4 linked regions of the Astyanax mexicanus genome follow. The protein of the gene in region 3 purifies or fractionates together with the protein of the main gene of each other region. This does not show direct contact. Links are inferred from orthologs where the notes say so. Each region holds a gene or a part of one and is shown on either strand. Other genes may lie near its edges. The genes, in order: ppp2r3b, tcp1, ppp2cb and strn4.

Region 1 (6,976 bases), on a different chromosome or scaffold from region 3:
TATTATATAATTTTTTTTCAGTGCAAACCAAGTGTGTCCCATATTGTACCATATGAAAAAATCAGGGTCCTTTTTTTAAATATCAGTGAAAAGCAATTTATTTTGTATATGTTTTGGTATTTACTGTGAAGCGGTATTATTTTTTATAAATTTATTTTTTTAATTTAAATGATTGAAATATTAATGTTTTGAAATATTGTAAAAAAATTACACTGAAATGTACGGTAAACTTAAATTAACTGCGCAGTTGCAGTCATGCTCACTTACGCATGTCACTAAGCTACTGATAGCCGCAGCTGTCTATCCAACTCTCTGACCCCACATTGCAGGCATTCACAACCAGGAAAGTCCATCCAAATATGGATCCCTCTCAAAAGATTTTCCACTATATAGTATTCTATTATAGCCTAACGTATGGCATGGGAAATATACAAATTCTTCAATGATTGACTTCTTTCCTGGATAACCTTACCTATATAAGGCACAGAATGTATGTAAGTGTGATGCTCTACTGAACAAAAAAGGCCTGAGCCTTGTAGACAGATATGTCCACCCTGATCACTGATCAGTACACAGTGGGAGAGCCATTAGTATTCCTGGGATTGGTGGACTTAAAATGCTTCCACCTCTCATTCCATGGTCCAGTCTTACTCCAAAGGAACATGTGGAAAGTATTTCTTTACACAATACAAAAGCCTATGCACAAAGCCAGCCCTACCAGAGATACTAAATACACAAAGCTACAGGGAACCAGTCTTCAGCAGCCTCTTGTGGTAAAACAGAGGAACTCAAAGCTGTCAACAACCCCTAAACTAATGTAAAATATTTACCAAAGATTAGCAAATTAACACCTGCTGTGCATACACTGTCAAAAAGCAGCTTTACACACATCTGGTTTTGAGCCCCAGTGAGAAAACCAGTGGTGACAATATATAATAATATAACTTCCTCAGAGTGAGAAAAAAAATCACTCAGAGCATATGTGTCCTCCTCTGTTCAGTACAGATATACAGTCAAAAAAGTCAACTCAAGACTTGTCAGATTTTGCCACTAAAAACCAATCCATTACTTTAACTATTTATTACTCATTATTATATATAACTCATTATTGTTGTTGTTATTATCATTATTATTATTATTATATAAAAGTGTAAACATTAACAAAGACATGCCATTGCAATTTTTAAATGATGTTTCAGCGTCAAATTAACTTAATTTTGGATTCTGAAAAATCTGAAGGCTTAGGGCTTCAAAGCTTCATAGGTTCCTTGTCTGCGTTTTACTATTTTGCCAAAATTTGCAGTAATAAATGCTCCACTTTTCACTGTAACACTAACCCAAGAATATCTATCGATGTGTGTCTACAAATAGTAATAAATTTAGAAGGTTTAGCACCAGTCGATATCGGAGTTGTGGTTCTGCATCATGGCCACTTCCATGTAACAAGGTCAAAAGTTTCAGTCCTACCTTTTTAACACTGACAGAGCGTCGTAGAGCCCTGCTGTTTGGTCCTCCTCTGCTATTGCTGCCACCCCCAGACGGGAGCGTGGCTGACGGAGGGCTGCAAGGAGCACTGAGCGATGCAGAAGTCCTCTCTGACATATTACTCTTTGAAGAAATGTTGTTGTTTTCTGTAAAAACGAGGGAGTCCCTTCCATTGCAGTCCTCTTGTCCAAAATCCAACGTATCTCCATCCTTGATCTTTCTGAGGTAGTCTGAAAGTATCACCTGAGTGCTGGGCTCACTCAACCAGTTGAGGAAGAGCTCATCCACCTTCATCTTCAGGACTGGTTGCAAAACTTGAGGAGAAGGCATTTTGGATGTTTTTATTTTTCCTCCACAATACAGTTACGTAAAACGCCCTGAATGTAGAAAAAGAGGAAAACCAGAAAGACAACATTATAATCAATATGCAGTGACTTCTTGTAAAAAGATAAATAAACACAATCAAATTGTCAAGATAATGCTTTCAGAATCATTTGAATACAATTTGTTTGGACGACTTATGAGTCCATTATCTCCTTCCCACGCCTTAATACAGCGATGCATTAGGATCTTGTAAAAAAAAACAATTATGCATTGTGCTGAATAATAGTCATTTAGAGCAGTTATTAGCAGGAAATGAGAAACGGCTGAAATAAGCCATTATAATCAAAGAAACTCATCATTTTAAGGTGGTCTCTTATTTTTTCCCAGAGCTGTAACTTGCATGTAAACCACATAGCTAGGTTAGCTAGGAAGCTAACTACTATGTGGCTACAAGCCACAGCATAATTTATATTTAGGTAAAAAGCCTAACGTTAGATAACCTATATTGTTTTATATGGACACACATTTAAGCATCTACCTAGGTTGTGTTTAACCCCAAATGTTGGTTATTTTGAGCCATGTTTGCAAAAGAAACCCCAAAAACTGTTATTTCAGTAATTTGCCCACTGTTAGCTAACCAAGCCAAATTACACTGATTTCAACTGACACATAGCTAGGTTAACTAGATAACAGTTAGCTTCAGAAGCTAACTCACCGCTGTAGATAGCTAACGTTACTTAGCTAAATAGCTAGGTTTACTTTGTTTACAAACTTTAGCCTGGTTGTTCGCACAGAGTATAGGACAATACGCATTATAAACAGAAGTTCTGAGAGTATAATAACTGACTGGATAGCTAGATAACTAGTTTAATAACAGTATAATATTCAGGAAATATCGTTAGCGCTATCCAGGGCCCTGAACTAACGGAAAGTTTATCAGTATCCCCTAGCAGATACGAGCTAAGCTAACCAGCTAGTTAGCCAAACACCGCTTGCCGCTTGTGGTTTAGTTAGCTAGATAGTTATGAAAGCCATAACGCTCCTCTTAATCCTGTAATGAGTGTAAATATATACAACTGAAGCTGTAAATGTAAATATTTACCCACCTGCACAACAAGTTCTCCGCACAACCCGTCTCTCTCTCATTTCTCCGGCCGGGTTTACTTTGAATCAAACTCTCGTCTCCACAGGTAACCGGGAAACCGAGTCTCGCGAGACTGCAGATCTGAACTCCTCACTGCTGCTGAATCAGAGCGGAGTTTATCTCAGGGGGCTTTCTCTTCTCACTGCAGCTATAAACTACACCTGAAGCTGCAGTTAAAGGTGAAATTAGCTTATATGTTCGTCGGTTTGCTGAATATTATGACTAAATACAGCTTTGTGTTGTATATAGTGTTGAAGCTGGTCTAAATAATAATAACTATACTAAGAACACTATATATAAAACACTATAATTAGGCTTTTTAGCAGCTGTGTAAATTGTGCTGTGGCTTGCACGCCTTAATAAGTCGTGGTCATGCAATACTATTTTTTTTAACATGGTGTCATCTTAGGGGCTCCGTAGGTAAATGCAAAATTAATATAACCAACTTATACAGAACCAGCGACAAGTTTGTTTGTTTAATGTATTTTCTACATTATAAATTAATATTAATTTTAATTAATATTAAAATCAGCAACTATTGTTCAGCACCTCCAGAAACTCGCTGAGAAAACTATTCCAGGTGGAAATATTGTGCTTTATTTAATATTAATTTTCATCATTAATATGCATTTCCATTGTGTTTAACAAGTAAACAGCAATCTTAACTAACCCCCAATGTATTTTTATCGACATTTCAATCTCAGGTTGGAGCTACACTTTAAATGACGGTTTAATCACATCTATCACCATCTTCTTTAATCTTCTATTCACTCTCAAACGGTAAATCCCGAAAATCTTCTTGAAAATAGCATTGCATTTTTTGGATAATTCAACCCATTTAGCACAAATTTAGGTAATTTTAATCAAATAATAGAAGAAACCAAGGCCATCTCTACAGTAACTCATATGTTGATAAAATAATGCAATCAAGCAAATGCAACTGACACACTAGTTGATTTTTTATTTAACAGTCATACTGCATTATTCTTTTTTTTCTTTCATAATAAAATATACTTTCAGATTTGTGTTTTGCAATATATATAGAATATGGACCAAATGTGTAACAAGATCTTGAGTCAAGAGAGCGGGTAGGCAACAATACAAAACAACATAAAAAAAGGAACATGTTGCCTGACTAAAGATAATAAACATGTGTCTCAATCATAAAATATTTCTTAATTTTGGTCAATACTGTATAGAGCAGAAATCAATATGAAAATGTAAAAGACACAGAAAAACTGGAAAAAACAGCCACAACAGATAAATGCAAAATATTGGAAATACTTTTAAAAACATATCACTGTTAATGAAAGATTTGTGATGTATATGATATTTAATTATTGTCCAGCCTCACCTTTACCCTCAAGGGCACCACCCGACATCAGCAACCGCATGAAACTATCACATTTTTTATAGTTTAGGAATCTACAATTTATTAAGATTTTTTTTCATTATATTATATTATACTATATTATGTCATGTTATATTATATTATATTATATTTTATTATATTAGTATAATTAGTATTATATTAGCTATTCTTCTAAACTTTATATGATATTCTTAATGAATATTTGTTTTTGTATTCATCACAGTAGCTCCAGTACACTTATATATATATGTGTTAATTCCATAACATAAAGGCAGCAGTTCTTGCAGGGTTATTTTTCATTATTAAATGATCGCTGTGACAACAGTAGTTTTGCTGAAACGCTTTAACAATGGTGAAATATTTTCATGTATTCTGCAGTGCGTTCCACAATTTGTTGGATCTGTTATACACTGTAAACCACCCACACCCTCTGATTGTTAATAAAAGTACAAAGAAGAAATCAAACCCAGTTCAGAAAACATTTAGATTCACAATCCGCACAGCTAAACCCAGCCGCAGTGGGGAGAGACTCTTTTATAAGACACTTCAATTGCTCTCAGATGTTTGCACTCTCCATCTGAGATTACGGTTAGGAGGAGGGAACAATGCCTTCTGCCTTCCCAGATCCTTTGAGATTTTTCTCATGATATATCAATGTTAAACTTACAGCGCTGGGCCGGCATTAAAACTGCATTACCCAAATGTAGCAGTTTCAAACGGCAAGAATGATTAGGTGCCATTTTACTGTGAGGCGTGCTTTGTGAAATGACAACAGTGCCAAGAACAGTCTTTCCATGCAGTCTTTCCATGAGCAGAAGAGCTTAGGCTGTATTGACCTGCAGGGGTCATACTTTACTAGGGTAGGGTTGCAGTGAAACATACATACATACATAGGTACACACAGCATGTACAGTGTACTCTTTCACAGTTTTCAAGTTTCAAAAAAAAATAATTTTACACCTTTGTGCCTTTTTCAATCAGGATATGCTGGAGCTTGTTCTTTGAGCTGGCTAAAAGAGCAAGAAAGGGGAGAGTGTTTGGCTTGAGAGGCTATTCTGCAGAGCCAAGCGGATCAGCTGTAATAATGTGAGGTCCCTGTTCACTCACTAACACCTCTCAGTTAACTAACTGTGTTACAACCTACAGTGCTGTAGCAACACTACTCCTGTAATAATAGATTTCCATGTTTAGCTCACAGGGGCAATTGATTTTGTCTGGCAACAAGAGAGAGAAAAATAGGAACATCGTTATGTGCATATTCCTTGTATTGTTTTATTTAATCACACTGAATTATTGAGGTCAGGCAGCATGTCTTCAGTAATAACTAAAGAACAATGTGTTCAAGCTATTTATTTGATGATATGTTATTAGCCGCCTTTAAGGAAAGATAAGCCGGCATTTGCTCTCAAGATTAAAAGGAGTGGACGTTACATCACAGGGCAAATTATTTCATGCATCAAAATGCCTCAGTTGCCCCCCTAAATTGTTTGCCTGCACAAAACGAGTAACCCGAAAAAAATGCTTTTCATCTGTTCGCTGACTAGAGATTTGGATCTCGGCTATAATGGCTCAAACATGGGAAAGAAAATTCGAGTTCAACGTCCCTTTAAATTGGCAGCAAGAAAAAGGTCTGGCTGGACAAAGCCACTCTTCTTTGCCTTATGCACATGTTTGCACGCCATGTGAGCACGCCATCGCCAGTCTCCCATTAAAAGCAACTAAAAGAGGTTTATTCGTTATCACCCAGGGCCTCACCTTTGAAAACACATTGCAGAGTTCTTTCATTTTAGCTCCCCGAATTTCATCATTCATTTTACATTACATTATCTCTCACAGGGAGCTTTGCTTGCTGTCGAGGCGCCGCTGTTGCTTCAAGAACTGTTTGAATAATTCAGAAAAAAGCAGGAGAAGATTAGAAGGCATTAGACTTGACTGGGTGAGGAATCAGTCCTACAACTCCCATCACAGCCATCTGGGGAAGTGTGCGCAGGCAGAGGGTGATGCTTCTGTGTGTAATGCCTTTATTGTGCTCTGTAATATTGCACTGATTTGACTGCCGGGCTTAAACACACTTCTAGAAAATACAAGCCCTGCCAAATTATATCTGTTTGTTAAATTATGCTACAATTGCGCACCATATATACATATTTGTATTATTTTTTTCTTTTTTTCTGCACCCCAGCTGTAGTCACTACGTTTAAGCTCACTATGTTGCTCTCGCATCACCAGACAGACGAGACGTTTAGACAGAGCTGAAAAACCAGGGCAGCGGCCAACTTATGAGTGCTGATGCAATGTATTACAGCCCTAATTACGGCAGCACTCCTGAGAAGTGATCAGTAATGAGCCCGTAATGGTTTGTTAACAGTCCCTCTCTAGGGTTGATTGATGTGCTTTGTCAAAAATTCACCCACACAACTTTGGTACGGTACCAAGATAAACTTTGCTGTTTCTTTTTTTCTCTACCAGACATTGTGTTGCTGTTATTAATTTAGTCCTAGTTTGAAAAACTTTAAAACTGAACACTGGAGCTTGGATATGGGAAACATAGAAGTATACTTAAAGGGCATTTATACAAATTTCCACCAAAAACCTCAACATTTCTGCATTATTCAGTCATTATAAAATTCATGTACGGTGGTTTAATGTGA
Region 2 (7,648 bases), on a different chromosome or scaffold from region 3:
TCTCCCTGGCTGGATGGCTGTGGATGAGAGGTGGTGGTGAGGTCTGGAGCTGGAGCTTCTTGGCACTGTCAATAAAAACGAAACAAGCTAAGATTCAGGATTCAAGATTTTTATTGTCACGTCACAGAGTACAGGTGTACATGTGAGTGAAGAAATTGGGTGCAGATTCCCACTAATGTGCAGAGAACAATATTTACAAGAAGAATAATAAAAATATGTATAATTTAAAATAAGATAGACAGATACCTTTACAGTATAAACAACATACACAGTATACTCAATAAAAACACACATAATAACTTACACTATAGACAAATATTGCACAGAACAAATATTGCACAGATGTAGATATGCAGATATCTAGAGTGTGTGTGTGTGTGTGGAAGTGAGGAAATAGTCCAGTAGGTGACAGAATAACTATGAGTAAGTGCAGGTAAGGAATGAGTTGAGTGGGAAGTGCAGGGGGCAGAATGCTATATAATATTGGGAAAGTCTGATAGATGCAGTGTAAATTAAGTGCAGGGTGCAGAGTTTGTATGGGTGTCAGTGGGGTTATAGTCCCACAGTAGGGGGACTAATCTAGTGTTACAGCAGCAAATATATAACCAGGCACACATAAGCAGAAAGACATTACTAAATCATTAATAAAAATATATAAAATATCTATGTATATAAAAAGTGTAAGTGCTTACTGTATGTGTATGAGGTTTACTGTGATGTTATTAAATACAATATGTTAAAATTACTCAAAATCCATTTACCGTAAGCATCCAAATGGATTTCAAGGTGTAATGCTTTTAAAACCCTTAAAGAACCACATATTAAATAAACACTGTACTCATTACTTTCACGTGCCTTTCTCACAGCTTCTTATATGTACTGCTTTAAATAACACTGAGATCTGACCTGTATTTTAGGAGGTGGCTCCAAACTCTTCTCTCTGACATTGTCTTCCACGAGGTCCGAGTCACACACAGCCTAGAAGAAAACAGGGGAAGAAAAAAACAGGTTTCCTAATGAACTGTATATCTATAATCATTTGAAGATAGTAGAGAGGCAGAGGTTAAATAGATTATATAGGATTAACTGCAAACTCTTACCTGTGCAACTGGACCTGGGACATCAGGCTTAGTAGAGTCCAGCCTGTGGGCGGGGGCTGCCTCCCTTACCGGCACCAGGACTCTCCCACCATGCCGCCTGGGCGAGGAAAGCTGCAATGGAGTGGAAGATAGAGACTTTAAAGACTCATATTAATAGATATTTAACAGATTTAAAGTGGGATATGGTTTTGGAAGCAGCTGTATGACTGTGATGCTTTTCTGCATCTTAATTCATTGTTTATTGTGCTTTTCTCACCTTCTCGATGAGGGCCCTCAGCTTCCCCTCGAGGAACTCGTGCTGAACCCTCCTGAGCTCCTTCCAGGGGTCTGGACCCTCACCCTGCCACTGCAGACAGGCGTCCCTCAGCTCCTCAGTGCCCTTCAGGAACATGGAAAGAAACACAACTCAGGATTATATACACTGCAATATAAACTAAACATGCTGCTTTTTTTTACGCAGATCAATAAAAACAGTTTGATAGAGACTCACGCAAAAAGGCAGGAGAATGGGGGGGTCGCAGGCGCAGTGAGACTCCACCTACAACAGAAAATAAATTCCAACCATTTTAAAAAACATAAATCAACATATGTTTACATATGTATGCATTTACAGTTTGTGAAACACGTGACTGTGATGCTCCTCTGCATCTTAATTAATTGTTCATTGTGCTTTTCTCACCGTCTCAATGAGGGCCCTCAACTTCCCCTCGAGGAACTCGTGCTGAACCCTCCTGAGCTCCATCCAGGGGTCTGGACCCTCACCCTGCCACTGCAAACAGGAGTCCCTCAGCTCCTCAGTGCCCTTCAGGAAAATGGAAAGAAAAACAATTCAGGATTATATACACAATATATGCAATATAAACTAAACATGCTGCATTTTTAGGCAGATCAGCAATAACTCACGCAAAAAGGCAGGAGAATGAACTGGTCTCCTGACCCACCAGAAGCCCCCTGTAACAGAAATACAAGAAAAATGTATTACAATAATTTTTAAAAATGGGATTTACTGTTTACTGTTACTACTGACACTGACACTGAACACATATGCCACCCTTTATGGCACCCAAGCTAGGAACCCTTTCCAGACTAATACAGTTATTTAATAAAATACTAATGCTATGCTAACTAGGTTAGGCTAGTTATTCAACACCACTTCCTCAGACTCCGCCTGCAGAACTAACAGCTGCTGTAATTCATGCTGCTCCTAGTTTTATCTTGTCACTGTAAATTTGGTGTAAAATTAGATAATGGTTTACTTACCTCCAGGAGATGGTCTTCACTCCGCCAAAACTCCATGTCTGACCGCGGGGTGTCAGTATACCCACACCGGTTTCGACACCTGAAAAACAAAATATATGTGATTAATAACAGAAAATACAAGTAATATAACAATAATATAATAATTAAAACACAATACAGTTAATAAAACAGTAAATATTAAAGAATAAACGGGTCTGTTGTCCAAAAAATCGCTGGATATCCTCAGTGAAAAGCTGCTGCTGCTGCTGCTGCTGCCGCTATTCTTGAGCTCAGGAACTCTGTAAACATAACAATCATCCAATCGTCTCGCTGAACGAGGACGCGCGCCGCGTCACTTATGTAGCCATAGAAACGCGTATATTATGTTTTTATTTAATTTTTTCCTTATTTCTTATTTTTCAAATGCTTTGCGTGTCTGACTGAAAATATGTATACTTATACCACAGTCATTAGTACAGTTATCTCAATTATAGTGCAATTACATGTTGTGGTGAACCCTGGTAGCAAAGAACATTAAATACATTAAATAAACTTTATTTAAAAAAAACTTGTATAAAAATAACAATAACAACAACAACGACAACAACAATAATAATAATAATAATAATAATAATAATAATAATAATAATAATAATAATCATTATTATTATTATTATTATTATTATTATTATTATTATTCAAAATATTTAAATAATTTAATCTATGTGCAGGAATAAAATAACTTTTTTAAATGGGGTGGAATTTCCCATTTTTAAATGCTTTGTATGTCTGACTGTTAAAATATTTATTTTTATAACACAGTCATTAGTACAGTTATCTTAATTATAGTGCAGTTATATGTTGTGGTGAACCCTGATAGCAAAGAATATTAAATTAATGATTATTAATGATTAATGATTTTTACATGCAATACAACTATAATAATAATAATAATAATAATAATAATAATAATAATAATAATAATAATAATAATGATGATTATTATTATTATATAGTAATAATAATAATAAAATAATACTTATAATAATAATAATAATAATTTTATTATTAATTTAAAATACATTTTCTTTGTGCCCATTCGCACAAAGAAAATTAAAATATTTAGATAGTAATTAGCATGGATTTTTTTCAAGACCACCAAATGTATAGTAAATTTGCATTTTAATGTAGTAAACATAAAAAAGTAGAACATTTAATTTAATAAAATGTTTTTTTTTTTCATTTTAGTTTTATTTATTTTGGTTTATTTTAGCTTAGTTTTCTGTAGTATATTTTAGTTTAGTTTTGTCTTGTTTATTTTGGTTTATTTTATTTTAGTTTATCTTACTGTAGTTTATTTTATTTTATTTTATTTTCCTATAGTTTATTTTATTTTATTTTAGTTTAGTGTACTTTAGTTTAGTTTAGTATAGTTTATTTATTTATTTGGTTTATTTTATTTTATTTTACTGTAGTTTATTTTGGTTTACTGTACTTTATTTTAGTTTATTTAAAATAATTGTACTGTAGTTTATTTTATTTTAGTTTATTTTGGTTTATTATTGTTCATTGTTTTGTTTATTTTAATTTAGTGTAGTTTAGCTTAGTTTATATTATTGTAGTTTATTTTTTTTTTAGTTTAGTAAATTGTAGTTTATTTTATTCCGTTTAACTTATTTTATTTTAGTTTAATTTATTTTCGTTTATTTTATTTTAGTTTAGTTTGGTTTAGTTTATTTTACTGTAGTTTAAAGTATTGTACTGTAATTGATTTTATTTAATTTTATTTTGGTTTTAATTTATTTTACTGTAATTTATTTTATGTTGTTTTAGTTTCGTTTATTTTGGTTTATTATTGGTAGTTCTGTTGTTTTTGTTTATTTTCGTTTAGTTTAGTTAATTGTAGTTATTTCATTCTATTTTATTTTAGTTTAGTTTAATTTATTTTGGTTTATTTTATTTCATTTCATTTATTTATTTATTTATGTATTTCTTTTTTTTCTTTATTTGTTTGTTTATTTAGTTTAGTTAATTATAGTTTATTTCATTTTCATTTAACTTATATTATTTTATTTGAATTTATTTTGGTTTATTTTACTGTGGTTTAATTAAATTTTTGTATTTTGGTTTGTTTAATTTTATTGTATTTTCAGCCGATGGGCTCTGGAAGGTTCCAGGCCGGGCGGCAGTTCTTTACCCAGAGTGCACCGCGGCTCCTTCTCCTCCTTCTCTCCGCTCCGTCATGTCTGTGCTGGACGGTCCGCTCAATGTTCTCGGTCAGAGGACCACCGGGGAGTCCGTGCGGACTCAGAATGGTGAGTTTAACCGCGGACCGGCTCCGAGACCCGCGCTCGGTTCTCTATGGATCAGCAGAGAGAGAAAACGTGCCGAGTTACAGCGGTTCACCGGCCCATGCTAATGCTAACGGCTAACGGCTCCCTCAGCCTCCACGTGCGGATTAAAACTGCTCAGACTCGCCTGTAGTTTAGTGTGTTACCGGTTAAAGATAGTAACCTGGCTAATTAGCGGATTTAAGGGTCTTTATGCGCGAGTCTCTGTATTAATATCAGTATTAACTGTTTCTTTATCAGCAGCCCGTTATGTTTGCTGTCAGTGTTGCCGGTTCCGCCCGTTAGCTAGCCGGCTAACCTAGCCTAGCCACTGTTATTAGCCTGTTGTTCAGCATCATGGAACATTACCCTATTATTTAGTGAATAATAAACTGTTAAAAGTTAAATGTTACACCGGTCAGTCAGTAGCGGCCCTGCTTGACAGAACTGGTCAGTGTTCAGTTTGTTAATGTTTATTTTAGATTCTGAATTTCTGGCTTTGTAATCCTGCTCCAGCAGAAAGCTACAGTATGCAAATCAGCCTGTGGGTCTGCAGCCACAGTGTGAAAGTGAGGAACTGATATCTGATCAATATCAGACATTTTAGATCAGTGTGATCATTGTTGGACTAAGTTCCTACTATATATAAATAACAGCTACTTCAGTTAAAGTAAATGTCTGAAAAGTCTTCTCTTAAGAACTTTGTGTAAAAATATCTACAATACTATTTAGCTCAAAATGTACTTGGGTGTTGAAAGTAAATGTCACAATTCAATGCAGCTCTGTTTTTTTGTAACTTCACTCTTGTTAATAACTCCTATTTTAAGTGTCCCTCATGGTAAATCAGCATTTTAAGTAAGGCTGGCCAACATAAATGTAATAAAAAGAATTTAACGATTTCTAGTTCTTATGTAACTGCAGTTTTTTATTTGTAAATAGGTGACACTGTTTTAAGTGATGCACAAACAGTTTTTTCCTTTTCCCAAAAATTAACCAAAAGGTAACATTGTTCAGTCAGGTTAGGATACACAAAGAATACGCAATGATTGTGTGCAATTTCATTGTACATTTTTCATTTTTTGCTGCTTAGTACTAAGAGAAAAAATATCGCACTGTTCTCATTTTACATGACAGTATTTACCAGATGGTCAATTATATCTTGTCTAATACAATTAATTTTGCTCTAATCATTGATGCAGTTATACTGTTGTTTCCATTATATGTTGCATCATTGCCTTTTTTTTTTATTTAGTCTGTTTACATTGTAATGTAATTTGTTCCAATACTGTGCAGCCCTAGTAACCAGCTGCAGTTAATCAATCACTGTCCACGTTTGAATAAATGTGGCTGTATTTTATAGAAAGTGTGTAATATGGGTATGAATTATAAAGTGGAATAATTGCCTAGTTTACAAACAGTGAACCTCTCCTGATGGCTAGATAATTGAACATGTTTTGATGACTTCATTTTTCTGTGTTTAACAGTCATGGCTGCGGCCTCCATCGCAAACATCGTCAAGAGCTCCCTCGGTCCCGTAGGGCTTGACAAGATGTTGGTCGACGACATTGGTGTAAGTGCAGCAACTTCAGATTATTAAGGCATTTAATAAAGTGTTGCTTTTGTTTTGAAGGCTTTCTGGGAATGCTTTTATCAATAGTGTGTGCTTCTGTTTACCGCAGGATGTAACCATTACCAATGACGGAGCCACCATCCTGAAGCTGCTGGAAGTGGAGCACCCTGCAGCAAAGGTCCTCTGTGAGCTCGCAGAACTGCAGGACAAAGAAGTTGGAGATGGAACCACATCTGTGGTAAGTTGCTAACTGTTATCTTTTCTTAGTTACAGTTATAGTTAAGAGTGTAAATGACCACTTTTTTTTTTTTTTTTTTTTTTAAAGAAATGTATTAATTTACTAGGTTAATTCATGCATCTTAAAGCCACAATATCTTATAGCCTCTCAATGATGCAAAGAATTGTTGTCAGTAGGCTTAAGCCTGCATCAGCCCACCTGTCTGCATTTAGAGTTAGTTATACAGCTCTCTTGTAGCCAATGCACAGTGCAAATGTAATTGCTTCAGGTTTGTAGACTTAACTCATAAACTTGTGTTGCTTAGGTTGTCTGATTACTGAAGTGCTTAATCATCGAATCTGAACTGTTCCATAAAAACCATCACCCGAGTTGAGTTTTCCCTGTATGTGGTTCACCATTTCTGTGTTCTCACAGCAGGAATAGTGGCCCAAATCTGAGTTTTTTTGCCAAGTTTTTAATATTTGTCTGAATAGTTATTGGGCAATACTTCACGCAAAGTTTCGGTTTAATCCTCTCAAGCCTTACTGTAACTATCAAGGAGTTCCAATTGCTGACAACTAGGGATACACAGACGTGGGAATTGTGGGCCAATATTAAACATTTATTTAGTTTTAGCCATGTTCATAACTTGGAGAGACTTGGAGAAACATCAGTAAGTATTGGTTTTGAAATGTTTGCCATGTCAGCCAATGCCTATGATTCTTAAAAAAAAAACTAAAAGCAACAATTGGCAGATACCGAAACGATTCCAATATCATTGTGTATTCTTACTGACAACTTCCATAGAGTGCAGTTATTTCTCCAAAGTCACTTTCTTTGCCTTGTCTGATATTTTTTTTAGGCCTATAATTTTTAATAATTTATTATTATTTGTTCAGCAATTTCTTCTGAAATGTCTTTAAACTCAGAGCGGTTGTAATATGTGCCTCGTAATCCATTGTTTTGACATTAAAAATAAAATTAATTCTGATCTGGCTATTTTTGCGCATTGTATATTTATTGGATTTTAATTCCACATATCAAGTGGCCGGAGTAAAAATGAAGAGCACCTTATTCAGTTTATTTTAGCTGTTCACACTGCCACACAATTAATACACTGTACTGGCAAAGTCCTGTTTTTAGTACCACCCTCCTGCTCCTTATCAGAGTGTGTGGCTATGCTAACAGGATA
Region 3 (8,124 bases):
TATTAATGTGTGATAAGTGGTGCTTAAATTTAACTGTTGACAAACTCAAGTTTAAAATAAGAAGACTGAATCACTCAAAATGTAAAACCCCTACTGACCAGACCCTAAAGATAGTCAATCAGCTGAGACAAGTTTAATACTGCATATGACTGAAGTTAACTTTCTTAATTTACAGCAAATTATTAAATCAGACTAACCTAGTATACGTGTTATACACCACAATAAAATGGTTTAGCTCCTGTTACAAGAGGAAAAAATAAACTTGTGACTTAAGGGGAAAATAAAAAGTCTAACAAGTTTTGTAAATATGCTCACTAAGGTTTTTTTTTAACACGTACGAGCTGTGAGAACTGCCTACACTGGACAAAAACATACTTAATAGCTCAATAAAATGTAATATTGCAGCTAATTATCAACTAACTAGATCAGCTGGTTCCAGTTGGACAGTTCCAGCTGAGAGTACAGAAATTTGACATGTCCAGCAACAACTCACTCTCAACTGATGGAATGACTTCATTCATTACACAATCAGGAATTAAGAGAGCCATTCACTGTGTATTGAGTGAATCACAGCTAACGCAATCATTATATCACTTTAAAGTGTACATTTAAAGCTGACTTCATTACACACTTTACTGTAGCTACACAACTGCATATACACAAACTGTATTAGTTGTATTTTTTATAGTATTCCCTTCACCCTAGTCCCGTCACAACAAACAATGTTTGACAATAGATATATTGTCCCATAAATAACGGCAATAATTGGCACTATTATTTTAAGACTATTTAAGATCATTAATACATTTTTTAGACATTTCTTCAATTTAGCCAATAATAAAAACCCTTAACTATCTTAAATTAAATAAAACAAAACCACCTTCTCAGTAGCTAAGTAAACAGAACGGGCAATATTGAGGTCAGCAAAAATCACAGTGGCTAGATCCACGAATAGCACAATTGCCAAATCAATAACACAATAACTGTGACAGGCCTATAACAGGTCTATTTCTATTCTAATTTATCTTTACATATAGTTAAATTGCCCTTTTTTATAGTTTACTTCATAACTTATTTAATTCACGTTTAACACAAACACCTACAAAAGTATCTAAATAAATAATACTCCAAGTTAGTTAATTAATAGCTGTAATTTAAACCTAAAAAACTTGTTTATTTGCCTTAGCCAGCTAAATACTTGCTGGTTGAAATACAGCAAGTTAACTAGGGCTTCATGATATTGGAAAACCTGAAGGTGTGTTATGTTGCTGCTCTCAGATATATTGTTTCACTGCTTAGTCATAGTTCTGACTAGTTTTTGCTACGTCATTATTTTGAGATACTAAGTCATTATTTCTGATGCAATCATTATCTGAAGAAGTCATAATACTGACAAACTAGATAATTATTTTAAGATACTATCACCATAAGAGCTTATATTATTGTTTTTTTTTTAGACAATATGCCCTTATTTAGAGAAACTAAGTCAAAGTTAAAGGATCATTATGCAATACAATGTCATTGTTTTGAGATACTACTTCATAATTTAAGAGACTCATTATTTTAAGATACTATCACCTTGAGATACTACATCATTTTCTAAGATATGTCCTTATTTAGATAATAAAAGTCATAACTCTGAAATAAAAGATCATTAATTTGGGACACATTACGAAGATACCACGTCATTACTCAAGATTACTATGTTATTCATATTATTATATTAAGATAGAAATACTACATTATTTAAGATACTACACCAACATTTTAAGATGCTACAAGATTATTTTAAAATATCATTTTAAGATACTAGATTATTGTTTTTTTAGAGAAACTAAGTAATTATTCTGAACTAAAAGGCCATTATTTTGGGATACTCTCATTACTGAGATACTACGTCATTAGTATAGGATACCATTTTTAGATACTACGTCATTATTTTAAGATACTATCATTTTAAGATACTATATCCTTGTTTTTAGGATAGGTCCTTTTTTAGAGAAACTGAGCCATTATTCTGAATTAAAAAAAAAAAACTTTATTTTGGGATACTCATTTCCGAGATAATACATATATCCAGAGATATGTCATTGTTTTGAGATACTGTCCTTATTTTAAGATAATACGTAATTATTTTCATACTCTTAAGTCATTATTTTGATGTAATACATTTGAGTGTACATAAGCTATATAAAAGGCTTTACTTTAATTTGTAAATTCCGAATAAAACAATCTTCTCAAATAGTATCTCACGTTTTAAGTTAACCTAGCATCTCAAAATAACGACTTAGAACCTCAAAACAACTTAAACTAGTATCACATTAGTATAGACTGTAATAAACATTTAACTTAATTAAGAAAAACACGTTGTTATTATGATCATTATTATTATTACTGTCGGGAATGTTGTTTTATTTCTATATTTAGCGGTAAAATTAAAACACCCCGCTAACAGATTAGCTATAGCGCTAAGCTGGGTAGGCTAAGCTACAATTAGCCGTTAGCCGCTTTACCTTCTCGCAGAGGGTCCGCACTTGGTTCTCGGTGAGCTGCTTACACTCGTTCAGCTGTTCGACCCACTGGTCTAATTCTTTAGTAAAGGCTTTATCATCCATCCTCGGCGCGTCCTGGAGCGCAGTACGGGCCTCTAGCTATGGTTTCTGGGGCTGAGCGGAGGTCTGTGTAATCCGGTACCCGTTGAAACCCCCCTCAGAACCGGCTGTGTGCTCCTGCTGGCGTCGTTTAGCTCTTTAGCTCGCTAGCTAACCTAGCGACCAGCCGGCTGGATTTAGGCTCAGCGGTGCGGGCGGCCGCTTAGCTCGGCTTAGCTTAGCCGACCGAGGGCTGCTTTACCCCGGACACTTTATCTAGCTGAACCCGTCGAAAGCGGGGAGACCGCGGCTCTAAAACAGGCGACTCCGCGCGTTCTCCCGTCTGTACGCGTGCTGATGGAGGGCGGCTCGGCGGGACCTGCGGCGCGGTGTGGCGGATCTATTTCAGTGGCTCCCCCGCTCTCTCCCTCCCGACCTTCCCTGGGAAACTCGCTGTGTAATGGCCGCTCTGCGTTTGCCTCATATCGGCGTCATCGCAAAGGCATTCGCGGAGGATGCGCGTCGCTCCGGCTGAGCCCGCGGGATAAACCCGGTACCGCCCTCCCGCGGACCAGCGGACCGAACTGGCCCTGCTCTTCAGCTTTACGTAATTCACATACAGCTCTGGAAAAAAATGAGACACCGTTTAAAAATGATGAGTTTCTTTGATTCTAACAAATTGAAAACCTCTGGAATATAATCAAAAGGAAGATGGAAGTGGCGTAAAGGAGCATGCTAAGCTGCATGAAATCTGTGATAAAAAACAGTATTATTCCATCAAATGTAGATTTTTTTAAACTCTTTAAACATTATGAATATGAACTTGTGTGTGTTGTTTTTTTACATTATGAATATGAACTTGTGTGTGTTGTTTTTTTGCATTATCTAAGGTCTAAAAACTCTGCACCTTTTTTGTTATTTCAGCCATTTCTCATTTTCTGCAAATAAATGCTTTAAATGACAATGTTTTTATTTGGCATGTTGTCCGTAGTTTATAGAATAAAACAGCAATGTTTATTTTACTCAAACATATACCTATAAATAGCAAAATCAGAGAAACTTATTCAGAAACTATAGTGGTCTCAATTTTTTCCAGAGCTGTACGTCTGCTGTTTTTACACTGAGAGCTGAGAGCAGAGTCTACCCACTCCATATCGCCACTTTTATACCAGAAACTGCCTGCTAACCGCTAGAGGGAGCCCGCGAGTGAGTCCTCAATGAATAGAGGTCTATGGAGCTAATCGGCTAAAAACTCAGATTAAAAATAGTTATTAACGTTTTACCCGGAATACACTTTTAATTTTAGAATGCAGAATAAACCCTTTCGCTAATACGTTGAAGAAAACGTACCTGTATGTTGCAGTTTCTCTACAGTATACAGGTTTTAGGCAGTAAAGACGCTAGCATTACTGCTACTGTGAGCTGACTGAGCTGAGCTGATGCTGATGGGAGTTTACAGGTTACAGACAGAGGAGCACTAAGTTTAAAGCGCTTATACCTAAAGTTTAAAAGCTTTTAAAATTGTGTCTGCGATACATCTGATATTGCTCTGTGTTAAAGAAATGAGTACAATTTGCAGTATAAAAATTAAAACCATGTATAAACTACGATTTTGTTTAAAGGCTCCATATAGACCCATTCATTTTGGACTCACTCGGGAGCGCCCTCTAGTGGCTGGACAAACGCAGAAGAGACTCTTAAGTGGGAATTCTCCTCTTTAATAGAGATTTTCTGCTAAAATTATTATTATTATTTGGATATTTAATTCAATCCAAATTAGATGTACAGCAACTCCATAAAATCACGCGCTGTGATGCGACTCAGCAATGCTGTATCAGCGGCAGTTCAAAAGGAGGGGGGTTGAATAACTGGCTGTGTAAATTGGGGAGAAAATGAAAGAAACATAGAAATCGAAAATAAACTAATAAAAAAAGTATCATAAAGCATCTCGTGACACAATATTATCACAATACATTTCCCATGATAGCATTGATATCACAATACTGTGATTTTGTTGTACTGTTGAGATTTATCGCACGACAATTTACTTCATGGCATCTGTGTTACTAAAGAGGATAAAATACCAAAGAATTATTAATTGATGTCAGTTTCACAGAATTAGACAACTAATATTCTTCACATATCCTACATAGTTTCAAATATAAAATTCTATGAGATTATTTTACCTGTCCCATGTTTCCGTCTGGACTGGCTGTAGAAACTTTTGACTGGGATTCCCACCTTGTTTTCAATCACTTAACTATAATGTTGTCATGTGACCACTAGACAGTACAGGTGGTGTCTCCATTTGAAGCTAAAGAATTAAGTATAATGGTGTAGAGAAGCTAAAATGTAATGTCCTCATGTGAGGACGCTGGGTCTCAAGAGGATATATCACTTTATCGATATTTTTAGGCAGATGGCGGCGCGTTAACACGCAGCGGCCGCTCCGGGTCCGTTAAATGGTGCTTTTGTGTTACTATTTGTCGTTTTTTCCGTTTATTTCCTGCAAATATGTGCATCGGAACACCCGTGCACATGTTCTACCACCGCCAGACCCTGCTACAGTGGAGAAATCAGCCAGAAAACACGCTACCGGACGAGGTTCTGCAGACGCTACTTGAGCTTAGCCTGCTAAGAGACCCAGGCCGCCAGCCCGCTGTGTTTCCTGACGCCGGAGCCCAGCGGAAGTGCCATCGCAAGCGGTGCGAGCGTAAGCGGAAGCGCGGAAAAAGAGCCAGGATCTGCGCGAGGCTAAAGGCTAGTCCTAGCCGGCCGGCTATACCATCGCTCTTTCTGGCAAACGTCTGTTCCCTTGACAATAAACTGGACTACATCCGACTCCAGCGAACAACCCAGCGTGAGTTCAGAGACTGCTGTGCTTTGGTTTTTGTGGAATCGGACAGCGCCATTCAGCTAGCCGGGCTAAACGCGTTCAGAGCGGATAGGAGCGCGGCTCTATCCGGGAAGACCCGCGGTGGAGGCGTGTGTGTTTACATCAACACGGAATGGTGTAACAACGCTGTGACTGTCGCCAAACACTGCTCTCCGCTGGTGGAGTTCCTGATAGTCAAGTGCAGACCTTTTTATTTAGTACGGGAGTTCTCCGCCGTGCTAATAGCTGCTGTCTACATCCCACCCAGCGCTAGCATTGGTGCTAATGCTAAAGAGGCTCTGTGTGAACTGTATCGGACTATCAGCGATCTGCAGAACAAACACCCAGACGGACTGTTTATTATCGCCGGAGATTTCAACCACGCAAATCTCAAGTCAGTGCTCCCTAAATTCCATCAACATGTGGACTTTGCAATGAGAGGAGCGAGCGCGCTGGATCTTGTTCACACAAACATCCCCAGCGCGTACCGGGCGGAGCCCCGCCCCCACCTCGCTTTCTCGGACCACATGGTGTTTGGCTGACTCCAACATACACACCACTCATCAGATGCTCCAGACCAGTTCAGAAGCAGGTGAAAACCTGGCCGGCAGGCTCCATCTCTGCCCTTCAGGACTGTTTTGAGTGCACTGCATGGGACATGTTTAGGGAGGCTGCTACTGAAGGCGATTCTGTTGATTTGGAGGAGTATGCAGCATCAGTCACTGGCTACATCAGCAAGTGTATTGATGATGTCACTTTCTCCAAGACCATCACTACACGCCCAAACCAGAAGCCTTGGATGACTGCTGAGGTACGTGCGCTGCTGAGGACCCGTGACTCCGCCTTCAGAGTGGGTGACAAGGTGGCCCTGAGGAAAGCGAGAGCCGACCTGTCAAGAGCCATCAGAGAGGCAAAGCGAGCACACGCCCAGAGAATCCACAGCCACTTCAAGGACACAGGTGACGCGCGGCCTATGTGGCAGGGCATCCAGGCAATCACCAACTACAGGACAATGCCACCGTCCTGTGAACATGATGCCTCCCTCCCTGATGCCCTGAACAACTTTTATGCACGGTTTGAGGCACAAAACAACACGATGGCGAGAAAGACCATGCCCAAGCCGGACGAGCAGGTGTTGTGCCTGACTGCAGTGGATGTGAGGAACACTCTGCGCAGAGTCAACCCACGAAAAGCTGCAGGACCAGACAACATCCCCGGCAGAGTGCTCAGGGAGTGCGCAGACCAGCTGACAGATGTTCTCACGGACATCTTCAACATCTCCCTGTGCAGCGCCACTGTCCCAACGTGCCTCAAGTCCACCACCATCGTTCCCGTGCCGAAGAAGTCCACAGTGTCCTGCCTCAATGACTACCGTCCCGTTGCACTTACACCCATCATCATGAAGTGCTTCGAGAGGCTAGTCATGAGGAACATCAAGACACAACTGCCCTCTTCACTGGACCCCCTGCAGTTTGCGTATCGTCCCAATCGCTCCACGGACGATGCCCTCACCCACCTGGAGAAGAAGGATACTTACGTCAGAATGCTGTTTATAGACTTCAGTTCAGCATTCAACACCATCATCCCACAGAACCTCATCAGGAAGCTAAGCTCGCTCGGCCTCAACACCCCCCTCTGCAACTGGATCCTGGACTTTCTGACGGAGAGACCCCAGTCAGTCCGGTTCGGGGGCAGCACCTCCAGCACCATCACACTGAACACTGGGGCCCCCCAGGGCAGTGTCCTGAGTCCTCTGCTGTTCACCCTGCTGACTCATGACTGTGCTGCAAAACACAGTTCTAACAGCTTTATCAAGTTCGCCGATGATACAACCGTGCTGGGTCTCATCACCAAAGGCGACGAGTCAGCATACAGAGAGGAGGTGCAGCGGCTGACAGACTGGTGTACAGTCAACAACCTTCACCTGAATGTGGACAAGACAAAGGAAATGGTTGTTGGCTTCAGGAGAGCACAACACACCCACTCTCCACTCAACATCGACGGGTCCTCTGTGGAGATTGTTAAGAGCACCAAGTTCCTTGGTGTCCACTTAGCAGATAACCTCACCTTGACCCTGAACACCAGCTCTACAGCCAAGAAAGCCCAGCAGCGTCTCTACTTCCTCCGGAAGTTGAGAAAGGCCCGTCTCCCTCCACCCATCCTCACACTCTTCTATAGAGGGACCATTGAGAGCATCCTGAGCAGCTGCATCACTGCCTGGTTTGGGACCTGCACCGTCTCTGACCGCAAGACCCTCCAGCGTATTGTGAGGACAGCTGAGAGGATCATCTGCGTCTCTCTCCCCTCCATCACGGACATTTACACCACCCGCAGCATCCGCAAAGCAACCAGCATTGTGAATGACCCCACCCATCCCTCACACAAACTGTTCTCCCTCCTGCCTTCGGGAAGAAGGTACCGCAGCATCCGGTCCAGCACGACCAGATTCTGCAACAGCTTCTACCCCCAAGCCATCAGACTCCTCAACTGTAGAGACTGAACTGATGGTTTTTCTGTACATGCACACACACTCTTACCCCACTTACCCCAGAAAATGGAAAGCACTAAAAACCCTACTACCTCACTGGACTCTATTGCACACTGTGTAATAGAGGTAATTACTACCTCACTGGTCTTTTTTGCACACTGCATAATTTG
Region 4 (7,848 bases), on a different chromosome or scaffold from region 3:
TGTACTTGTTACTGGGTTTAAATAAAGTATTTTATATTTAATTATGTGCTTTGTTAACTGGTTCTGACGGATTCAGCTCTGCTATTCGTTTTATTAGCCGCTCAATTTTATGAACAGTCCGGGGTTCACCAAGACCATAACATAAAAAAACAAAACAAAAACAAGGCAATGTTTTAAATAATCAAAGTTGTTTTATTTACTATTTGGTCCGCATTTACATTTTACACGTATCTCAAAAATTACTCAAAAGATGTCAGAATGGACTAAGCCAAAATAACAAACAAAATAATTAACTGGGATTTAAGAATCTAACTCACCTAACTAAACAAAAAAAGAAAATTACTAGAAGTTTAACTTTTCTTTTGGTTTTATAGTCAGAAGCTTTATGGGATGACTTTGGTTAGAATAAATGTGGCGATTCAAAGATAAAGTCTCGATTGGTCCACTCACACAAGAGGTTAATAGCTATAATATGAGCATACATTACTTACTTATATACAACATACATTACTTACATTTATACAGACCTGTGGGGTTTATTGGGGATCTTTCAGTAAGGCAAAAATATTTTTGCATGTAAAAAAAACAAATGTCATTCATTTGCCCCCAGTCCTTTCTTGTAGGGTTTCCTTTCCAGCACAGTGGACCTGTTTACAGTGATGTGTAAGTCAAGGGAATAGGACAGCTATTGCAAAATATGCTTCTATTTTCAGTGAACTATTTCTGTGTGGGTCTGAATGTATCATTGCTCTACTGGAGATTTATCTATGACACTGGCTTCAGGCAAAGACCACCATATCATAAGTCACTTGGTAAACAACTGAATGATACATTGCGTTATAAAAATGACGGCAAACTTACAAAGAAAACCCAACAGTGATAAAATTACTAAAATTATTACACAGTAGCAATTAGGATGTTTAGGAAGTCTTTTTATAGGCATGATTTTTGCCTGATCTGACACAGAATCAAATCCTAATTAAAGTTCCAGCAAGGAAGATTTACTTGCAGCTCCAGTTTGATCTCACATCATTTGAACAGCACACTTCAGCCTTGTATACATTCTAATTACATTCTTATAAAAAATATAATACACTTAATTTAACCTGGTATATTTTTCAATCATAGGATCCATGATCATTTGATTTATTTTTAGAGGGTGCTTCAGGAAAATGTAAGAGACCATCTGCCAAAAGATAGATGAAGGTAAAAGCACACAGCTGAAAGATTTCTGCATAGAGGAGTGTGAAACACTCTTCTCCCAATGTCAAAGGGCTTAATTTAGCTTTTGTCTTCCAAGAGGTAAAATGCATATAAACTTGAATGAAATAAACTTGCATTTTTTTTTACTTACATTAAAATTGTTTTAAAAAGATATTTATTATCCAGATATTTATAACACAACTGGCAAAACAGGGTCAGGTTTCAAGCCTGGACTATGTTTAGGAGCAGGGTAAGGGTTAGGTTGTTTCTGGTTGAGGTTAAGTAACAGTTAGGACCAGGTTTATGATTAGAAGTAAACAGATATTTAATTAAATGCAAGTTAATGGCAGGTTAGGTGTAAGCTATAGCTCTGTGTGTATATATATATAGCATGCATATTTTGCAGAAAGTTAATGTTTAAAATAACAGTACATTATAGTACCCCTGACCCCAGTCAGTAAAACAACAGAAGCATGCCACCACCTTGTGGTCAGACAAATAAATTGCAATATCTACATTATTCACGTCAAAATAATACAATTTCCCCACTAAATGTTTGCTCTTTTTTGAAATTGAAATACATTTGTCAGCTCTCTTTATCTAATACTTTTAATAATTTCCTATTATAAAATCCCAAATAAGTTCATAATATACCAATTACTGAACTATTGAAAAATTAAGCTATTAAAAGACAATGGTCATGTATTAATTACAAAAACACAAAATGTGCGACACTTTTAGCATAACTTAATAAACTAAAATTAGTAGCATGAGCACAGCTTACTACTCATATGATGTTTATATCCACTAAAGCAAGTATTTTGTAATCCGTCATTTAACCAAAGCCTTCTCCTGTCACATAGTACGTACTGATTTTCTAAACTTTCATATTAAAACAAACATTTTGGAGATCGTTTTTGATTTTTTTGTGGGAATGTTTGTGTATTTCAAATCCTTAAGCATGACAACAGTATAAAACAGATAAACTCAGACGTTTGACAACCTTAAGATTTTAAACTGTTCTCTTTAGTTCAAAGTTTAACACCACAAATAAATCACAACCTCACATTCGACTCCTATCCAGTCTTTTTTTAGCAGGGTTAGGATACTGTGGGTTCTCAATGACCCCCTGCCCAAACTTTAGCTCCAGGAAGGCACGGTGGTTGTTGGGTCCATAAGCAGTAATGCCCACAAATGTCATGGGAACCAGTGGCTGCAAGAAGTGCTCAGGGAATTCTACATCCTGCTTGTGATCAGTCCAAGTGTCCTTGGTCATGACTCCATTCCGTGGGTAAAAAGGCCAAAGATCCACATGCAAGTGGTTAGCCTCACTATACTGGATGCGGTAGAAGTCTCCCTCCACTGCCCGCTCCCACACATACCCGTTAGCATCCACCAGTGACCCTGAGTCTAGGTTCTTCAGGTACTCACAATTTGACACATCCTCCAGATAGATACCCAAATCGACATCATAGTCCCAGGGGATGATATCTTGATGTCTGGCTGCTCCTAACAAACTGCCCCCTTCCAACCAATAGCGCACACCAGAACTGTCTAAGATGTTAATGACATACTTTGTTGTTTCTCTGAGAGCACGCAGGCAACAAGGTGGGGTCCAGCGCTCCAGGTAAAGATACGCGGGTGTGTCGTCACGCACCGTGCCGAAACATCGTGCTGTCTCCTTTGAACAGCCGAACCACTGTTCCCTTCCATCAGGCCACACTAAGCGTTTAAGACCGAAGCTCCGCATCAGTTGGTTGGCAGCCTCTTTAAGCCGGCTGTCCGCCTTCCATTGGTTGTGTGCCGAAGTGAAAAGAGGCCGGTGGCTTGCAGAGAATGATGGACCCTCCAACAGCTTTACCTTCCAGCCTCGCAGTGCAGTCTGTATAAACAGTGAAGATAGCAGGGGGCGTGCTAAGGGGTCAGACAGGTTAAAAAAGTCTTCAGTACGAATGAGGACTACAGCATCACCATGCAAAGCAGTACACACACTGCCACTACTCCCCAGTGCCCCAAGGGAGTATGTTGCTGTCCACTCTTTTAGGCTCACCTGCAGGTGAAGACACTGGACCGCAGCACGAGTCAGCACCGGGGCTGCAATCAGCCGTACTGGCCCACCTCCCTCACCCTCCAGCTCTCGAATTAGCCTCTCAAGCTGCCGCCCGTGATCCAGCTCCACACCGTCAGGCACTAGCAGTACAAATTCTGACTGTACATAAAATTCTGGACGGTGTGCTTGAGGAGGCTGGTCTGGACTCGGAGACAGCACCAGCAAACGGGCATTTTCAGGCAGAGCCAGAGGAGGGTAAGGCAGGGTGTCAGCCACAACCAGGAATGGCAGCTCTGGCCTCTGGTGCAAGAAGGAGCGTGCAGATTCAGCGACATAATTCTCAAAGTCTTCAAACTCCCGAAGCAGGATGGTCATACGAGGACTTCGCAGACCTACTTCACCTCCTACCTTGTTGGCTTCTGCTATGTTTCCCACTACCAGCCCACCAGCAGCTCCTAGGCCAGACGCAGATAGAGAGACTTTCTTTGAGCCTTTTCCCTGCATGCGCTTCTCAATCATCTGCTGCTGTGCCCGGGATACAAAATACAGTATTAACAAGTTCAGCACAATGGCTCCTGTTAGCAGAGCCTGACAGAAACTGATTCTCATTTTCACTATACAGGTTTTACACTTATATAATATACAATGAAAACTAGAATTATACTATGTGACGTACACACAAACGTGAAGACCAGAGTGGTCTTTTGCTAGTGTTTTTCTCATATTAAACATGTCAGGAACAAACAAAAACGTGGTGAGGAATTTGTGAGTTGTATTTAGATGCATAATATCATTAATAATAAACAAAAAAATGAATTGACCCATTGACTCCGGGGTAGTTGTACAAGAGAAACAAAAGTTTTCAGAGTAGGCGGGTGGTGGATTATGACATCCTATCTCTCTGCCTTTGCTCATCCAATCTTTTGCACCACAGAGACTGTAAGACACACAAAGAAAGGCATAAACGCATTAGATCGCCCTTTAAATAAACAAAAAAACCCGATTGTAATGTATATGCTGTAACAACAAACAAGTAGCGATTGAAAAAAAGAACACTGTCTTACCTGTTTCTGGTTGTACATTGACACAAATAATGGTCACTGTGTCTATCCTTTAGACCAAACATTTAGCTCGATCTTACAGGTCTATCACGGCCACACATGGCCGTTCAGATTCTCTGTATTCCGCAACAGTCGATCAGTCACACAGTGCACATCTAAATCCAGAGTAGCTTTAGGCTCTGAGCTGAATCTGCACCGGTGCGCCGGTCATTGTTTCAGCATGCGGAGCGCGCGGGCGGTGCGGGGCGCGGGTGCGGGTGCGGGCCCAGCAGAGTCTCGTGCTCAGTGTTTTGTGGGTAGTAAGCGCAGGAAGCTCGGCGGATATCACAATATAGCAGGAAGCGTCCCGAGGGTGCGCTCGAGAGCTTAACCACAGCAAGGAATAATGGAGTGAGGGGGGAGGGCGCGGCGGTGTGCATGGGATCAGTATTTGGCAGGCTCGGGCTGTGTGTTCGGTTTTGTCCGTGTCGCGAAGGAAAATAGGAAACGGCTCCGTTTGAGCGCGCGAGGAACGGGGACCTCGAGCCTTTTCTCACTCCAGTTTCTCCGTGATTTGGCGACACGCTGTAATGGAGGCGGAAAGATTCGGCGGGGGGACGAATCAAAATACTGCGGGTAGCGGAGCTGGGCGAAATCCCAACGGGCCGAAGACTGTGCTCGGTCCGCCGTCTGCAGCGCCCACCGCCGCGGCTCCATCAGCGGCGGCCGGGGCCATGCCTGGGTCCTCCCAGCCACGGGAACAGCAGGACGGGGAGGCGGGCCTGTCGCTGCCCGGGATTTTACACTTCATCCAGTATGAGTGGGGGCGCTTTCAAGCGGAGAAATACCGCTGGGAAGCGGAGCGAGATGAGCTGAGGGTAACTTTTACATTAATTTATGTTCTTATTTTAAAGAGTCAACAGGACTGAAGGAATGTGTGAGGAGCAGCGGTAACAGTAGAGTCAGAACCCAGGGCTGGTGCTGCGGGTTGTTGGCGTATTAGTGAAAGTATAATAATGTACAGCTGTATGTTCATGCTGTTTCGTGTGTCGCGTATTTGTCTGGTGTGTGTGTGAGAAGGTTTGGCCTGTACTGTGTTTTTGTTTGAGTTTCTTTGTAACATGCGCTCCCTCCCTGTGCTACAGTAACTGTGCTGTTAGTGGTGTAGTGTTAGGCGTGTAAGGTATATTGGTTTGCTGCTCATATCAACAGAAAATGCGCTGCCACGTGACCGATGAACCACTCCTGAGATTCAGTTTGAGATCTGGTTGTAAATCCAGGGCGAGCAAAAAGAGCGATGACGTAATGTGGTTTGTGGGCGGAGTCTGTAGTAAAGCAGGGACCGTGGCTGTGCTCCTCCGCCCAGAGTAAGGAGCTGTGGCACATTTAGATGAACACGTTCATCACTTTCAGGCTCCCTTTTTGGAACACAGTTAGTTACTGCACCTATCTATATAAGCCGTCCGATGCAGACTTGCAAAGGCCCGTTTTAGAGCTGCAGCTAATGATTATTTTGTTAGTTGGCTAATACATCAATTAATCCTGCCATGCCCTCCATCTCTCTTCATGTAGGCGTGGCTCCTGTTCCAACGCATGCTTTACCTCACCTGTAGATTTCTGCACACCTGAATGTCACTTTTTTTCGACCACAATAACTGGTTCTGTTTAAGCTTATAAGAGCCTTGGTGCTTTTCAGTGAACCAGCCCATGTTTGCGCCAGTTTTAGTGGGTGAGAGGATACGTCACAGACCACTTCATCAGCAGAGGTCTTTGCACAATGGCTCCTGCATATGTAGATACGCCCACATATTTTGTCAGGGTTTAAGCTGAAAATATTCTTTGGTTCCGTCTGCAAACTTAACTTTTCAGGTTCCAGAGCCTATTTTTTTTGGTGGAAATGCTCCAAATGGTTCAGTATTGGGGGCCCGAAGAAGGTGGCCGTTTCATGTTGGACGAAAAACGCTACCTGTTGTCCAATCTCTTCCTAAAAGGGGAACTGAACGTGTGGGGTAGTAAAACATAATAACAAGTACCAACTTTTGTCAGATAGCCCACCAACTTTTACCTCCAGCATGATCAAATACATCGCGTTTAGCCAATCCATTTGGATTTTTTTTATGAACAAGCTCAGACTAGCTCCACATTTAAACAGAGACACTGAGAACTTTGCACATGTATAAAAGACCAATATTTAAATACTGTAAAAATATTACTGTATCACCACACCCTCACATCAGCCATTCATTTCAGTAAATTACCTAACCCATACCACAGACATTTCAGTGCACATGTGTCCTTACATGATGTTTAAACTGGCAAACATTAAGACTTGGAAAATTTAGGAGATGCATTGTTCCTGGTGTGTGATCCCAAATTCTTTCCTATCTCTAAGACGTGTGCTGTTCTACTTGATGAAATATCTCTGGAGGCAAAGAGGGAGAAATAGGAGTTATCTGCCCTTGACCCAGTTCTCAGACAGAGGAAGTCAGGATGGGTTGGGCAGCACATTATATATTATTGCACTTTACTAAAGTCAAATCAAATTTATTTATATATCGCTTTTTACAATACATATAGCAATCTTAAAAATTAAGTAATTATACACAGGTTTAATATATGGGTCAAAGGATTTTCAACATGCCAATTTTAAAATACAAAAAAATTTTGTATCTGTTGCAATTAAAATGCTGTGAACACAAACAGATTGAGTTATTTTAGTGTATTTTCATTTAGAAGAATTGGCCTTGGCCTTACAAAATGTCATGTGGTGCGACCGTGATTTATGTTAAAATTAATACATTGCCATAATATACTTCATTTTTAGTTTACAAATTCCCACTAATATAAAGTGTCTATTAATAAAGTATTTGCATTATTTTTTAGTTTTTGTAAATAAGGATCTCAATTTTGTTTTTTAGTGTCACAATCACTGGCTTTAATGTAGTTAATAGGGTAATTTTCTGTTAATCCAATAAAACTGTTAAAATGTTTTCTAAAATACCATTAACTTCAGCATACAGTATCAATAGTTAATATTTCAGCAACAGAAAATTGATACTTTATTTAAAATTTAGTAGTTACTGTTATTATAGGTTGCACCACATGATGAGTGGTCGCTCCAAATGACATAAAGTATCGTATCATTACTATTTAACTATTTAATGAGATCAATAAACAATAAATTCAACAAAATAAATAAATACAAAAATAGAATTCCATACAAAACCAGAATTGTTTTCTATTTTTTTCCCAATTTCTCCCTAATTTACATGACCAATTACCCAACTCATTTATTCAGACTTCCCCTATTACTAGTGATGCCCCAACACCAGGAGGGTAAAGACTAGCACATGCCTTCTCACATGTGAAGTCAGACTCCACCTCTTTTTGAGCTGCTGCTGATGGAGCATCACAGCGCTAACGCTCGGAGGAAAGCGCAGCGACTCAGTTCTGATACATCAGCTCACAGACGCAGTCTAGGAGTGATGAGGGGAAAGAGGACCATCTACTGTACCCACCCAGAGAGAGCAAGGCCAATTTTACTCTCTCATGGCT

What was found.
Region 1: the proteins of ppp2cb (region 3) and ppp2r3b purify together in Homo sapiens (affinity purification with mass spectrometry; 3 studies listed by BioGRID and IntAct, counting the BioPlex papers as one, with this or other methods). This does not show direct contact. The link is inferred for Astyanax mexicanus from reciprocal best matches to the Homo sapiens genes PPP2CB and PPP2R3B.
Region 2: the proteins of ppp2cb (region 3) and tcp1 purify together in Homo sapiens (affinity purification with mass spectrometry; 3 studies listed by BioGRID and IntAct, with this or other methods). This does not show direct contact. The link is inferred for Astyanax mexicanus from reciprocal best matches to the Homo sapiens genes PPP2CB and TCP1.
Region 4: the proteins of ppp2cb (region 3) and strn4 purify together in Homo sapiens (affinity purification with mass spectrometry; 4 studies listed by BioGRID and IntAct, counting the BioPlex papers as one, with this or other methods). This does not show direct contact. The link is inferred for Astyanax mexicanus from reciprocal best matches to the Homo sapiens genes PPP2CB and STRN4.

The regions. Positions count from the first base shown.
Region 1 is NC_064418.1:6,029,415-6,036,390, forward strand, and holds the start of ppp2r3b (serine/threonine-protein phosphatase 2A regulatory subunit B'' subunit beta), read right to left. Parts: upstream 3,024-6,976; 5' UTR 2,916-3,023; intron 1,863-2,915; 5' UTR 1,816-1,862; coding exon 1,468-1,815; intron 1-1,467. UniProt on the Homo sapiens protein: The B regulatory subunit might modulate substrate selectivity and catalytic activity, and might also direct the localization of the catalytic enzyme to a particular subcellular compartment.
Region 2 is NC_064420.1:22,435,516-22,443,163, reverse strand, and holds the start of tcp1 (T-complex protein 1 subunit alpha), read left to right. Parts: upstream 1-4,508; 5' UTR 4,509-4,581; coding exon 4,582-4,654; intron 4,655-6,153; coding exon 6,154-6,239; intron 6,240-6,348; coding exon 6,349-6,477; intron 6,478-7,585; exon of another isoform or gene 7,586-7,648. Other genes in the region: uncharacterized protein LOC111194026, read right to left, coding at 1-65, 907-978, 1,101-1,211, 1,357-1,479, 1,591-1,638, 1,780-1,902, 2,004-2,051, 2,361-2,396. UniProt on the Homo sapiens protein: Component of the chaperonin-containing T-complex (TRiC), a molecular chaperone complex that assists the folding of actin, tubulin and other proteins upon ATP hydrolysis.
Region 3 is NC_064427.1:27,864,160-27,872,283, reverse strand, and holds the start of ppp2cb (serine/threonine-protein phosphatase 2A catalytic subunit beta isoform), read right to left. Parts: upstream 3,081-8,124; 5' UTR 2,616-3,080; coding exon 2,514-2,615; intron 1-2,513.
Region 4 is NC_064425.1:35,550,980-35,558,827, reverse strand, and holds the start of strn4 (striatin-4), read left to right. Parts: upstream 1-4,691; 5' UTR 4,692-4,883; coding exon 4,884-5,171; intron 5,172-7,848. Other genes in the region: fukutin-related protein, read right to left, coding at 2,267-3,708, 4,075-4,190, 4,318-4,379. UniProt on the Homo sapiens protein: Calmodulin-binding scaffolding protein which is the center of the striatin-interacting phosphatase and kinase (STRIPAK) complexes.